Linked DNA regions of Saccharomyces cerevisiae S288C. The gene in region 3 interacts genetically with the main gene of each other region. Each region holds a gene or a part of one and is shown on either strand. Other genes may lie near its edges.

Evidence for each region. A genetic interaction does not mean that the proteins touch.
Region 1: mutations in HDA1 (region 3) and RIM101 together harm fitness more than expected from each alone (negative genetic interaction), as found in Saccharomyces cerevisiae (4 studies listed by BioGRID, with this or other methods).
Region 2: mutations in HDA1 (region 3) and RIM20 impair growth when combined (synthetic growth defect), as found in Saccharomyces cerevisiae (5 studies listed by BioGRID, with this or other methods).

What each region holds. Positions count from the first base shown.
Region 1 is NC_001140.6:49,357-53,488, forward strand, and holds RIM101 (alkaline-responsive transcriptional regulator RIM101), read left to right. Parts: upstream 1-1,754; coding exon 1,755-3,632; downstream 3,633-4,132. Other genes in the region: WSC4 (Wsc4p), read left to right, coding at 1-1,224; YHL026C (uncharacterized protein), read right to left, coding at 3,863-4,132. UniProt on the Saccharomyces cerevisiae protein: Transcription factor that mediates regulation of both acid- and alkaline-expressed genes in response to ambient pH.
Region 2 is NC_001147.6:838,584-842,778, reverse strand, and holds RIM20 (Rim20p), read left to right. Parts: upstream 1-1,709; coding exon 1,710-3,695; downstream 3,696-4,195. Other genes in the region: CAF20 (Caf20p), read right to left, coding at 961-1,446; MOD5 (tRNA dimethylallyltransferase), read right to left, coding at 3,819-4,195. UniProt on the Saccharomyces cerevisiae protein: Required for the proteolytic cleavage of the transcriptional repressor RIM101 in response to alkaline ambient pH, which is necessary for sporulation and invasive growth.
Region 3 is NC_001146.8:590,879-596,869, reverse strand, and holds HDA1 (histone deacetylase HDA1), read right to left. Parts: upstream 3,644-5,991; coding exon 1,523-3,643; downstream 1-1,522. Other genes in the region: serine/threonine protein kinase ARK1, read left to right, coding at 1-1,247; rRNA (cytosine-C5-)-methyltransferase RCM1, read left to right, coding at 3,971-5,443; FAP1 (Fap1p), read left to right, coding at 5,710-5,991. UniProt on the Saccharomyces cerevisiae protein: Responsible for the deacetylation of lysine residues on the N-terminal part of the core histones (H2A, H2B, H3 and H4).

The sequences.
Region 1 (4,132 bases), on a different chromosome or scaffold from region 3:
ACCTCTACCACCACAAGTACCTCATCGTCGACTTCTACGACCGTAAGTGTCACATCATCAACATCTACCACCACAAGTACTACGTCGTCAACCCTCATTTCCACGAGCACATCATCATCATCATCATCAACTCCAACCACAACATCGTCAGCCCCCATTTCTACAAGCACGACGTCGTCAACTTCCACTTCAACAAGTACAACATCGCCAACTTCTTCTTCAGCACCTACAAGCTCGTCTAATACAACACCAACGAGCACAACGTTCACTACGACATCACCCAGTACAGCCCCTTCAAGCACTACGGTTACTTACACCAGTACCACAGCATCTCCAATAACGTCCACTATAACTTCTGTAAACCTGCAGACCTCCTTAAAGTATTCTGTGATAACAGTGACTTCAGTGCACACCATGGACACTAACATTTCGGAAATCACCTCGAGATATCTCACCATGAAAAAAGTAATAACGCAGATTTACTCTTCCACCCTCGGGGCTACTCCTACTTCTGCAGTGGCTACTACGTCTGCCAGCGTAGGTGGTAGAATAACAAACAATAACAATAGTAACACCACCAACAGCAATACACCAACTAACAAGTCTACAGAAAAGAAAGGGTACTGGGATTCGCCCGGGAAAATAGCCGCTACTTTCGTCGTGGTTGGAGTGGTATGTTTGGTAATTATATGCATACTAATATACTTAATACATCATTATAGAACAAGACCCGCTCGGAAGGCTCAAGATTTTGAGAATGAATATCAGAGTAAGTTTTACCAGTCCAAGTACCCAAATGAAGTTACCACTACCACGTTACACACGCCTTCACCATCTTCAAATTCAACTTTCTCGACCCCAAGATTAATATACACTGATGAAAAGGGACAAATTATGTCTGAATCACCATCCCCACGTCAATCTACGTATTCCTTGACTGCAGGCAGTCCACCAAATGACCCAAGCACGTTGGCAAGCCCATTTCACGATCCCATTCTTCCCAGAAGAACTTCTACTTTTCTTCATTCGCCCATTCAAAAGCAACACGAAAAAATGGAATCAAACGTTACTCTAGGTGAAGACACGGTACTGGTGGATCAGAGGCTAGACCCAAGTAAGATGCTTAACACTTTAGCAAATGACGATGCCACAAACCACTCTACCATTTCGTTATCAGACAACGTAGACTACTCCAGGAGGGTTCTGCGGCTAATGAACGAATAAAGACTGCAGCTCTTATACGTAATAAATATTCCACGAACGATAATACATACATAATTTTAATTCTGAACTTTGTTTTTTTCCTTCGAATGTTCTCAAAAGAATGCTTTACGACAATAACGCTGTTATCTTGTACATACTTTTCTCTGCCCAGTGACAGCAGGCACAATAATCTAAATACCGCGTTCGTGCGAGACATTCTCTGTGATTCACAGATTACGGCGCAGAAAATAAAATAGCCGTCCAGCTCGGAGTTTCTAAAATTACGTCCGAGATGACGGAGGCTTATAAAATCATTTCAGACGGGTGAGGGATGCCAATCTACGAGACAAAAGATAAAAAATTAAGACTCAATAATATAGAAAGGAACTAAATGTTTTCATAAGAGTCACCGTCTATAACCTTTTTTTTTTTTATTGGTCTGTTATCACTTCCACTGAGAAAGTAATATTGCTATTGCACAACACTTTTTGAACAAGTGCAAAGATAAAATACTGAAAACGGTAAAGTAGGTTTGTTTAAATTGACTTAAGATGGTGCCATTGGAAGATCTGCTTAATAAAGAAAATGGCACTGCCGCACCTCAACACAGCCGGGAGAGTATAGTAGAAAATGGGACAGACGTTTCTAACGTCACAAAGAAGGACGGGCTGCCCAGTCCTAACCTATCTAAAAGGTCTTCTGATTGTTCGAAGAGGCCTAGAATTAGGTGTACCACGGAAGCTATTGGCTTGAACGGTCAAGAAGATGAACGGATGTCACCAGGCAGCACTTCTTCATCATGCTTACCATATCATAGTACTTCACACTTGAACACTCCTCCATACGATCTATTGGGCGCTTCGGCAGTTTCACCCACCACATCATCTTCCTCTGACTCGTCCTCCTCCTCGCCATTGGCACAAGCGCATAACCCGGCAGGTGATGACGACGATGCGGATAATGACGGTGATTCTGAGGATATAACACTATATTGTAAATGGGACAACTGTGGTATGATTTTCAACCAACCAGAGCTGCTATATAATCATCTGTGTCATGACCATGTTGGCAGGAAGTCACATAAGAACCTACAATTGAATTGTCATTGGGGAGACTGTACCACGAAGACGGAGAAAAGGGACCATATCACCTCGCATTTGAGAGTTCACGTACCATTGAAACCGTTCGGTTGCTCTACGTGCTCCAAAAAGTTTAAACGTCCGCAAGATTTAAAAAAGCATTTGAAAATTCATCTGGAAAGTGGCGGTATTTTGAAAAGAAAGAGGGGACCCAAATGGGGCTCAAAAAGAACTTCTAAGAAAAACAAAAGTTGTGCAAGCGACGCAGTGTCGTCTTGTTCTGCATCTGTGCCTTCCGCTATAGCTGGTAGCTTTAAGTCACATTCTACTTCTCCACAGATATTACCCCCATTGCCCGTGGGTATATCTCAACATCTGCCTTCACAACAGCAGCAGCGGGCTATTTCCTTAAACCAACTATGCTCAGACGAGCTATCTCAGTATAAGCCGGTATATTCTCCACAATTGAGTGCCAGATTGCAAACGATCTTGCCGCCATTATACTACAATAACGGCAGCACGGTAAGCCAAGGTGCCAACAGTCGGAGCATGAATGTCTACGAGGACGGTTGTTCTAATAAGACCATAGCAAACGCCACCCAATTCTTCACCAAACTATCGAGAAATATGACAAATAACTACATTTTGCAACAAAGCGGTGGTAGTACTGAGTCCTCGTCATCATCTGGGCGCATCCCCGTAGCACAAACAAGCTATGTGCAGCCACCTAATGCTCCTTCATACCAATCCGTACAAGGTGGTAGCTCTATTTCGGCCACTGCAAATACAGCAACTTATGTGCCAGTACGGTTGGCCAAGTATCCAACTGGTCCTTCGCTTACTGAACATTTGCCACCTTTACATTCGAACACTGCCGGTGGTGTTTTCAACCGCCAATCACAGTATGCTATGCCACACTATCCATCTGTTCGTGCTGCGCCTAGCTATTCCTCCAGTGGCTGTTCTATATTACCGCCTCTACAATCAAAGATACCAATGTTACCATCGCGCCGTACAATGGCAGGTGGAACTTCATTGAAGCCTAACTGGGAATTTAGCCTGAACCAAAAAAGCTGTACTAATGATATTATCATGAGTAAGCTGGCGATTGAAGAAGTAGATGACGAAAGCGAGATAGAGGATGATTTCGTAGAGATGTTGGGTATAGTGAACATTATCAAGGACTACTTGTTGTGCTGTGTCATGGAAGATTTAGATGATGAAGAAAGTGAGGACAAAGATGAAGAAAACGCATTCTTGCAAGAATCTTTAGAAAAATTGAGTTTACAAAACCAAATGGGAACTAACTCAGTTCGCATCTTGACCAAGTATCCCAAAATTTTGGTATGATATGGATTGTCGGATATTTTATTCTTAGTTGTTTCTTTGCGGCTGTATAGTAAATGAATAAATCACACATGCCCTAGCGCGGCGTCGCGGATTAAACAAGGTAACAATGGTTAAAGGAAAAATTATTTGTTAAGGTGGGTATATTATAGATTGCTAATTGTAAAGTATTAATAGTTTATTAAGTATTAAACTAGAGTTCGCACATGCTTTTATTTTTTTGTTGCTTTTCTTCACGCTACCGCTTCTTGAGACTGTTGTTTGGTAGTACTGATATCTTGATCGGTTGATCCCGAGCTGCGATTACCCGTGGAGCAAACTTCTTGATCCTGCTGTAGCGTACCGTTTGCTAAGCCTTCATAGTAAAGTTCCTCGTGAAACTGGTTTCTCAACACAATGACGATGATGGCCACTGGAGTGCATACAAAGGCAATTACAACGGCATAAATCAACTTCATGACCTGCGGTAGTGGATAATCGTTGAAGTAGTAGTCGTGGGACCC
Region 2 (4,195 bases), on a different chromosome or scaffold from region 3:
TCCTTTGACACTAAAATTCAAAAAACTCACTAGAAAGTTCACTAAAGCGCCTTAGCTGACTACAGCACAACCCAACCCCAAAAACTAGTGAACTACACACTAAGAGAATTTATGGTATTTCCATAATTGAAGTATATGTACGATGTATACAATGTAAACAAGAGAGTAATGAAGTGAAGATATGTACACCTAGAGCGAACCAATGATAATTTGTTTTCTTAATTAAGAAAAACCATTAAAACTGGATTAGATTTCAATAATGAAAAGCTAGGAACAAAAAAAATTGGTCTACTTCCAGCCATTTGCGCTTTATATAGACATATGGAGGCGTGATGTCTTAAGCATGGTAATCCGGAAGATCAGTTTATTGAATGATGGTTTTCTTATCCTGAAGGATCCTGCAAATGAAGTAAGTTCAAAGAATTGAAATGAAATCGCCTTTTATACCCTCGCCGCACCAAGGAGCGCGCTGTGAAAATTTTTCGCTTTATCTCTTAGGGCTCCTACTGTCGGTAGAGAAAAGTTGAGTATATTTAAAGCATGAGGTAACTTTTCTGCCCATTTTTACTTCTATTTCCATTTGAATTCAGAAAAGTGAAGCAAAATTACACCATGAGTTCCTATTAACGTCAGCCTCTTTTGTACTCATAATGTGGCTTCGGATGTTTGATGGGCGTTGCTTCAGTGCGTACGGCTCATGGTAGATTAATTATTAGAAAGATGTATCTCCAGCTGTTGATATTAGAGGGGGAAGCCTTTCTCTTTCACCTCGCCTTTTTAAACACCTGATACAGTTGGTCATGATTCGTTCTACATTTTAATTTCTTTATGTAACCACGTTGTATATTTTCAATCTGGAAAGTAACCTAAAAGAGTAAAAACTGTTTATTAAAAAAAATGTTATTCAAAATTTATACATAGTACACGTACAGCTGCCTGAAGAAAGCATGAGCGAATGACTTATGCTTCGTCGTCTTCGTCTTCACTTTCCAAAGCAGCAAATGCGTTGAAACCAAGAATTGGCTTGTCCGCAACAATATCTCTGGTATCAGCAGGTCTGTTGGAAGAAATATTTTTGTTATTTGGCTTGACTTTTAAAGTTTCTTGGGCAATGGTAGCAACTGGCACAGTAGAAGTTGGTGTGGTTTCTGTTTCTTCTTCATCATCTTCTCCACTACCCTTCTTCTTGGCTTCAAATGTGCACCAACCATCTGAATCGGTTGTAACCTTAGGCTTGTTGTGCTTAATCTTTGGTCTACCATGATGGTGGGAAGATCTTCTACGACCGAAATGACCAACATGATGACTGTTAAACTCTTCCTCTTTCAAGTGTTGCAATTGCTTAACTTTTTCAATGATGGCTCTAAATTCCACCGCATCGAAATTAACTTCCAAAGTTAAACTTGGCTTCAGTTGAAAAAGCTCATCGATAGTATACTTGATCATGTCGTGAAATTAAATAAAAGTTCTTAATCCTATATTCAGGTTACAGCTCAAATAATGTCTATCGCAATCGGTAGAATATGCTTTACGCCAAATACTTTTTCCAATTTTTCACTATTTTTCGTCCAGGAAAAGAGATATTCAAGCCTCGCTACTACCCGGCTTTATAATATAGCATAAGAAAAGGGACTATAAAGCCTTATTAAAACACTACTATACCCTTGCAGAGAGAGTATTATTATCTATGGAGATCCAGGCAGTGTGACATGAGTGAACTGCTTGCCATTCCACTTAAGCGAACTTTAGAAGTGGACTTTGCCACGGAGTTGTCAAAACTAATTGATACTACTTCCTTTCAAACGGCATCCTTTTTCCAATCAGACATACTCAAAGTTGTTGATGCAAGAAACAATGCGATTGCACCCGATATCTCAATCGACGGTCTTTCTGCACTGAAGGAATACTATGTAATATTGTTGCAATTAGAGAAAAAGTTTCCCAATAATCAAATAGAATTTACATGGTTTCAAACGCTATCACAAAAATCTCGTGGTACTAGTCAATACTCATTACAATGGGAAAAATTAACCATTATTTATAATATTGGTTGCATGTATTCACTGTTGGCTCTAAATAGCAACAATGATGCAGCCGAATCCCTCAAAACGTCATGTCTGTACTTCCAGAATGCCGCCGGATGCTTTAAACATGTTTTAGACCACCAAAAAAATCTTGAGACAATCCCAGTGGTAGATGACGCCACATTGAACGCTTTAACCTCCCTGATGCTAGCACAAGCGCAAGAATGCTTCTGGTTTAAAGCCGTGCAAGATAAACACAAGGACTCCTTAATCGCGAAGTTGTCACAACAGATCGTGGACTTCTACTGCGAGGCTATTAATGACGCCCAAAGGGGGAAACTTATTAGAAGTGATTGGATAAACCACTTAAAGGCTAAAAAGGCTTACTTTAGTGCGGTGACTTATTACAGAATAGCCTTATCTTTTAATGAGAAGAAGCAGTTCGGAAATGTTGTGAAAGCTCTGCAAATGGGATTGCAATTTATAAATGAATCAACACTATCTTCGCAAGCTAAGTTTAAAACTGTTGTCGAATCTTCTCTGAAAGAAGCCCAAAGAGACAATGAATTCATCTACTTACAAGAAGTTCCTTCGGAATTACCATCGATCAAACCAGCTCTCATGGTTAAACCATCTTCTTCAGCAACATTGTTGCCTTCTATTAAAAAGGATGAGACTTTATTCAAAGACCTAATCCCTATAGAAGTGATGGAATATTGCACAGCATACAATGAAAGGCAAGATGAATACGTTGAACAACGTGTTACCAATCCCCTTGCTTCCCTAAATAAACTATTGAAGGAGTCCTTGACTACTTTCCAAATACCACAAGGGCTTACAAAGGTGAGTGAAGCAGAACTGAGTCATTACCAGGCATCACTGAATAATCTTCTCATTAATAATAAAAATGTGCAGGTACAACTCGATAACATTGAGCAAATTTTAAATGAAGAAGCATTTACTGACAATCAGCTCCGACTAAAACACGGAACCTTAAATTGGACTTTACCCGAATCTTCAACTACTAACACAGCATATTATGAAAAACTAAAAAAGCTGAGAGGATACCTTGATGAAGGTAGTGCGATTGACAAACAAACAAATGAACTATTTCAAAGCATCGATAAAAATTTGATTGGATCAGAGATCAGGTTACCGGAATCTAATGATCCTCTAACGAATAAGATTAAGATGATCATACAGGAAAGAAATGATTATATTGATAGGACGAGGCGGAAATCTTCAGAATATAGAATACTTCCAAAGATCATTACATCGTATAAAAAAAATGGAACAGTCGACTTTGAACCCATTTTCATAGGCCATTTAAAATACTTTGACGAAGATTTAAGATACGTTAATAGTACAAAGGAAGAAAATATCAAACTTATTGAGGAAGTAAACCTAAGTAAGAAGAATAACCCCGGCAGAAGCGGGATTGAACCAAAGAAAATGGTAAGAATAGATCCCAGAGAGCTATATATTGAAGATCTGAGATATTCCTTCAAACTGCTTGATGAGGTGAAAGAAAATTTAAGTGCCGGCACAGCATTTTACGAAAATTTAATTACTTCTACCAGCAATCTGTACAATGAGGTACAGGAATATGATACAGCAAGAAGAGCAGAAAAAGCTAGGCTTGATAAGAGTTTGACATTTGAAGACCAATGATACCTGTCCTCATTCATCTATAAAGTATATTTTGAGCTTGTCATCCTCCCTTTCCATTATCAAAACCCAGCTTCACTTATGTAGATATATACACTCAGGATAAACTCCTTTTTCCTAATATTTTCATTCCACAGTCTCCTTCTTGTTTATTTTCCATTTTTCAAAATCAGCTTGACGAGTGTTTCTTTTCAAGTTGGATTTATGTCTTCTGCTACCCAAATGAATTTTCCAATATTTTTCGCCAATAGCTACAACGTTCTTACCATCTGCGTTACGACAGACGTTGCAAGTATAATGTGTCCAATCGTCCAATTTCTTCATCGTAGTTTCGCCTTTAGACAACAGCTCCTCTAGGGCTTTAGGTGCCCTTTCTTGCTTGATGGGTCGATTGCTAATAAAGTCATTGGAAATAGCTATCGCTCTTTGAGATGCATTCGTGTCCCATTGAGAAAGGTCAGTGGCATCCAGTAAGTATATATCGCCTTTGATGTCAGGTATCA
Region 3 (5,991 bases):
ATGAAAAGTCGGATATATGGGCGCTGGGTATTTTTCTATATAAGCTTTGCTATTACACAACACCGTTTGAAAAGGGCGGTGATCTTGCCATATTAAGCGGAAAGTTTGAATTTCCATTGTATCCGAACTACAGTGAACAGTTGAAAGGCTTAATACGTGATATATTGGTTCAAGATCCGCGCCATAGGCCTAACGTTTATCAACTACTGAAGAGGATATCAATTATGCAAAATGTTCCGTGTCCAATAAATGACATACAAGTGGTTCAGGCGCCCAGTAGCCATTTGAATTTGACCGAACTTCATCAGCTTTCGGCAACACAAAATATTCTAAGCTTGAACTCTCCCACAACCATGGAAAATACGATGCCGAACGCTACATTTCAAATCAGCATGGCTGATAATACTACAACAGCACAAATGCATCCTAATAGAAAACCATCACAAATAGCATATGACGCTAGCTTCAGTAATTCCGCCAAAGGTTCTCAACCACTTTTTGACAAATCACAGAATATGTACCACGCATTGGATCCTCCACTTGTTGAACCGCTAGCGAGTAGTGTTTCAAATAATGACAACGAACTCAAGGCAAATTCCGCAACCAAGTTAAAGCAGGCAATTGTCTCTGAAGCACATACTTTTAGGCAGAATAATTCAATAGACTTTCCACTACAAAACATAATACCCCAGTACGAAGATTCTTCTTCCTCTTCAGATGAATCTTATTCTGGAGACGTAGATGAATTAAAGAAAACTCGATCTCTAGGTTCTTATTCCACACGCGGTAACATAAAAAAAAACCAATCCGTAAAGGAATCTCTTACTTCATCAAGCCTACCAGGCACTAGCTTCACCCCAACGTCTACAAAGGTAAATTTGAAACACGAAAATTCACCTTTTAAGTCGACATTCGTTAATACGATTGATAATTCCAAAGACGATCTTAACAAACCATCTTATGAAGATTTGGACGTATCTAAGCAGAATTTGAAGAACTCCATTCAACAGCGTATGATCGATAAACTCAACTCTTCTGAGGAGTCATTCAACGCTAGGAAAATGTCCAAGGTCAAGCTGCATGAGAAAGGGGAGATAGATAAGCCAACAATGCTGAAATCAAGTGGCCCGATTTCAAAAGACAAAAAAACAAAACCTACCCCACCACCTAAGCCTTCACATTTAAAGCCTAAACCTCCTCCAAAACCACTGCTCCTCGCGGGACGAAAGTTATCCTTGGATAAGTGAGTATTTGGCTCAACAGAACCGGATCGATCTCTGAAGAGGCTGGTAACATGTTCAAAGAACCTTTATTACAATGTGTTATATATGTAAGCATCCACTTTAATGTATACGTTTTCCCATAATACTTAGTAAAACACAGCTTAATGCATTTGTTCATTTCTTTTTCCTATTTTAGATATATTGGATTATACAATGAACATTGTAACAACTTTATTATTATTCAACTTTCATAAGGCATGAAGGTTGCCGAAAAAAAATTATTAATGGCCAGTTTTTCCTCATTCTTCATCACTCCATTCTTCAAACGAATCCAGTATAAAGTCTGTAGCCTCTTCAAATCTTTCTTCAATTATATTGTTTAACCCGTCCGTATCACATCTCAAAACTCTACCGAATTTTTTTCTTGGTTTTCTGCTTTCATTTTCTTTCCAGCATTGGTGGCTATTGTTTGAAAATATAAGTGAGTTTTTGAAGTACCATTCACTCAATGTTTCATCTACTAGAGGAACTAGTGGCTTTAACTGCTTGTCTCCCAAGAAATTAATTACCGTTTTAGTAACAGCCCTAGTATCCCTGTGACCAAGCAGATGTACGATACCTGAGTATGAGTCTCCTATTCCAATAAAAGCAATTTTGGCAACAGAAGGAAAATACTTGATGTAGTTATCCCATAAATATATTAGAACTTCTTGGGATGTAATCATTCCTGAGTAATTGTCAGGTTCAAACAGAGTTAGAGGTATATTTACATCAATGATGCCGTATTTCCTGTCAAGTCCCCATTTGATAAAGTCTAGAGAATTATCAATGATAACTGATGAGGATAAGTCAATTGTACCTGAAATAACATTTCTCTTTGCCCAGATATCAGAAGTATCATGAACGACTATAATTATAGTGTTAGATTCGGAAATGTTTGGAGTACATAGCACTGTATTATCTGGTAAATCCATGCTTACTAACGGTAAAGTAACGAAATTAAATTCGTCGCTTAAATAGTGTTGCTGTTGTTGACGAATAGCCTTCTGCAGAGGAAAATTTTTAGATATTATCGAGTCGTTAATAGGTTCGTTAAAATTACAACCGGAGTTAGCATGTCTCCTTCTAAAACAGTTCCAATACTTGGACTGTAACCGAATTACTTTGTCTATCATTTCTATGACCTCAGGCTTGGGATCACTTAATGGATCAGGTAGTTCATCAGGAGGCTCCCCTATTAGTACTTTTGCTACACTCAAAGCGCTTCTTGCAATCGCATCCAAGTTATATCCACCTTCCAAAACTACACAAAGATTACCTCTAGCTAGAGATTTTAACATATGTGTCATGTGTCCATAACAACTTGGGGTGACATGACATTGTCCGATAGTATCACCATCCGCGGCATCAAACCCTGAAGAAATAATCACCAAGTCAGGCTTGAATTCTCTCCCCATAGGCATAACTACCTGTTCAAATGCCCACATATATTCTGCATCACCAACACCGCCGACCGGCCAAGTAATATTACAATTGAATCCTTCACCCTTACCCTCACCAGTTTGATCATATTGTCCTTGGATGGTCCCAGGATAGTATTTACCCATTTCAAATCTGTGTAATGACACATATAGCACCTGATCGTCTTGATAGAATGACTTTTGTGTGCCATTACCATGATGAATATCCCAATCTAAAATCATTATCCTTCTTACACTTTCTGGGTAGTTCTTTAAGATATTCTTGGCAGCAACAGCAACATTACTGAAGAGACAAAAACCACCCGCAGCTTGAGGCTCTGCATGATGGCCAGGTGGTCTTACGACAGCTAGAGAGTTTTTTACACGCCCCTCGACAACCGCCTTGCATGCTTCAATGGCGCCACCACAAGGCAGCCTAGCACTCGCGTAAGAATCATTATTGAAATATACGGAATCACCTTTTTCAGTCTCTTTTAATAACTCTTCTCGGCTCATTTTTTCTGTGCTTTCAATAAACTCTAAATGTTCCTTTGTATGAACTTCCAAGATTTCTTCGGAGGTTGCGGCTCTTACAGGTATCTTCAGCATTAAATCACCAAGGTCATCCACGCCGCTTAAAGTGGGGTCGTTAATCAGACCATTCTCTGCTAGTATTTTATAAATACGATATATTCTTCTTGGGTCCTCTGGATGTGGATCAATGTACTCGAAGTACGATGTGAAAATCTTTGCATGATACCTCATTCTAACGTCATAGCAAAGACCAGTTTTCAGCGGTGAATAATGGATTTTTGGCATGCAAACGGGAACAATAACCTGCCTTTTACTTTTAGAAGTAGTAGAGAGGCTATTCTCTTCTTCTTTGTTCTCTTCTAGCTTTCTTTTTAAATCATGGTCTGGATTTTCCAGTACTTCTTTCTTAACCATTACAGAATCCATGCTTAATCTGTTCGGCGTATTACAGTGCTCAACTTTCCCTTTCTCAATATTTTGTTATGTGAATTAGGTCACTAAAAATTAAAACATTTAAGAAAAATAAAAGTTCCTTCCACAGACGAAACACTGTATATGCTTCCTCCCAGCTCTATTTACCTAATTAGTGACCTGATTAAACTTTTGGAAAGAAGCATTTTCCTCGAGATTTCCAAACGGTGCGGGAAAATGGCAAGTGAGGAAAAAAAAAACTGGCCTAAAATATTCGATGAGGTTAAGAGAAGAGCTGGTTCTTCACCAAGTGTTTCACTGAGAAGTTAGCTACGAAAAAGCATGAATTTCTACAGGGATGCAACATGGGTGCTAGAAGATATTGAGAAGGAGGCTGCAAAAGAAAGGATTTCCGGCTCTATGCAGACGCTGGTACTGAAAAGCTGTAAAAGATATAAGCTGAAAAGTAATCCAAAACATATTTATGCAGTTCTCGATTCGTGTTGGAAATATAAACCATATTTGGAGAAAGTGATGAAAAAGGCACACATATTGGAAGATATACCCAAGAAAAAGGGCAAACCACTCTTTTCAAGGCTAACTTTGTTATTGCTTTGCCATGATTTGCTGTTGTCTAAGCAGAAAAGAATTCAAATGGGCAAACACCCCATCAAAGATTATGTTTTGAAGTTTAAGAGCCCATTGCATAGCGAAATGGTCAAATTGAAACTCAAATTGAAAGTAAGAGAGCTATCTGAGTTGGTATTAAGCGAGGATATTTCCAATGACCTTCCTCCTGTTAGATGGATTAGAATCAATCCATTAAAATGCCATCCAAATGGTGAGACTGAGCCGGTGTTAGCCGAATTGAGGAAGAAGTTTACTTTAAAGGTAGACAAATGGTCTGAACTAGTTCCTGGGTCTATCTATTATGATGAGTTTATTCCAAACTTGTTTGGAATTCATCCGTCTGACAAAATTACAGCACATGAGCTTTATAAGCATGGGAAGATTATCATTCAAGATCGTGCTTCTTGTTTTCCAGCCCACATTTTGAATCCAGGACCAAGTGATATTGTGATAGATTCCTGCTCTGCTCCAGGTAATAAGACTACCCATACGGCCTCTTATATATATCCCGAACCACCGAAGGACAATAATACTCGAATATACGCTTTCGAGAAGGATCCTGAAAGAGCAAAAGTTTTACAAAAAATGATCAAGATAGCTGGCTGTTCTCCCAACATCAGTGTCAATGTAGGTGATTTTACAAAGCTCGCTACTCCTGAAAAATATAAGGACGTTACTTGTTTTATTGTAGATCCGAGCTGCTCCGGTAGCGGTATATTTGGTCGTAAGTTTTTTGACTCATTTAATAGAAGGAAAATTGATGATAAAGATGACGATGGTGGCATTGTGCCGGATGAGCAAGAGGAGTTTATAGCAAAGGAAGAACTACAGACAAGGTTAGCGAAGCTGAGTTCATTTCAGTTCCAGATGGTAAAGCATGCAATGAGTTTCCCAGCGGCTAAAAAAATAGTATACAGCACATGTTCCATTCATGCGGAAGAAAATGAACGAGTCGTCATAGACCTTCTTTTAGATAAGTCAGTTAGAGAATGGGGTTGGAAAGTAGCGCCAAAAAGAGAAGTTATTCCTTCTTGGCCTAGAAGAGGCAAGGTAGAAGAGTTCGAAGAGGTTTTTAGAGATGGAGTCACCTATGACCCTCAACAGCTTGCCGAGGGTTGTATCAGGGCACTACCAAAAAGTGACGGTGGTATTGGTTTCTTTGCTGTCTGTTTTGAAAGAGATTAAACTTTCAGAACATTCATGTATATATGTGTATATCTGATATGTATTATTGCATTTTTGCTGTAGTACTACGGAAAAGACATTTCAATAATCTATACATCCCGCACATAAAGGAAGATTTTCGGGTAATATACTATTATAAAAATTATCGATGAGCTCTGTGAAAAGGTCGTAAATATAAAAGTTCTTTCTTGCGACAGTGGCAACAACCAAGTGAAACAGCGTGAGACGAGACTGCTCTAATCTATTTGCAGTCGTAGGCATTACAAATGACCGAACATGAGTCTTTAGGCCTGGAGCAAAATCAAGACGGCGGTGACACTTATAGACATCACAACCTAAGCGATGGGTGTATTTCGAGTGTTGAAGACGCCAACGAGCAGCCTAGTTCGTATGAAGAGGAAAGTGATGATGATATGCAATATTACGAACGTGCGATCCAGGAAATTTCTAGCGGTGACTCATATGTTTGTATGATTTGTACAGTAGAGATGGATTATACGTGCCAAATGTTTGCTTGCAAGAGATGTTATAGAGTGTTTGATTACGGA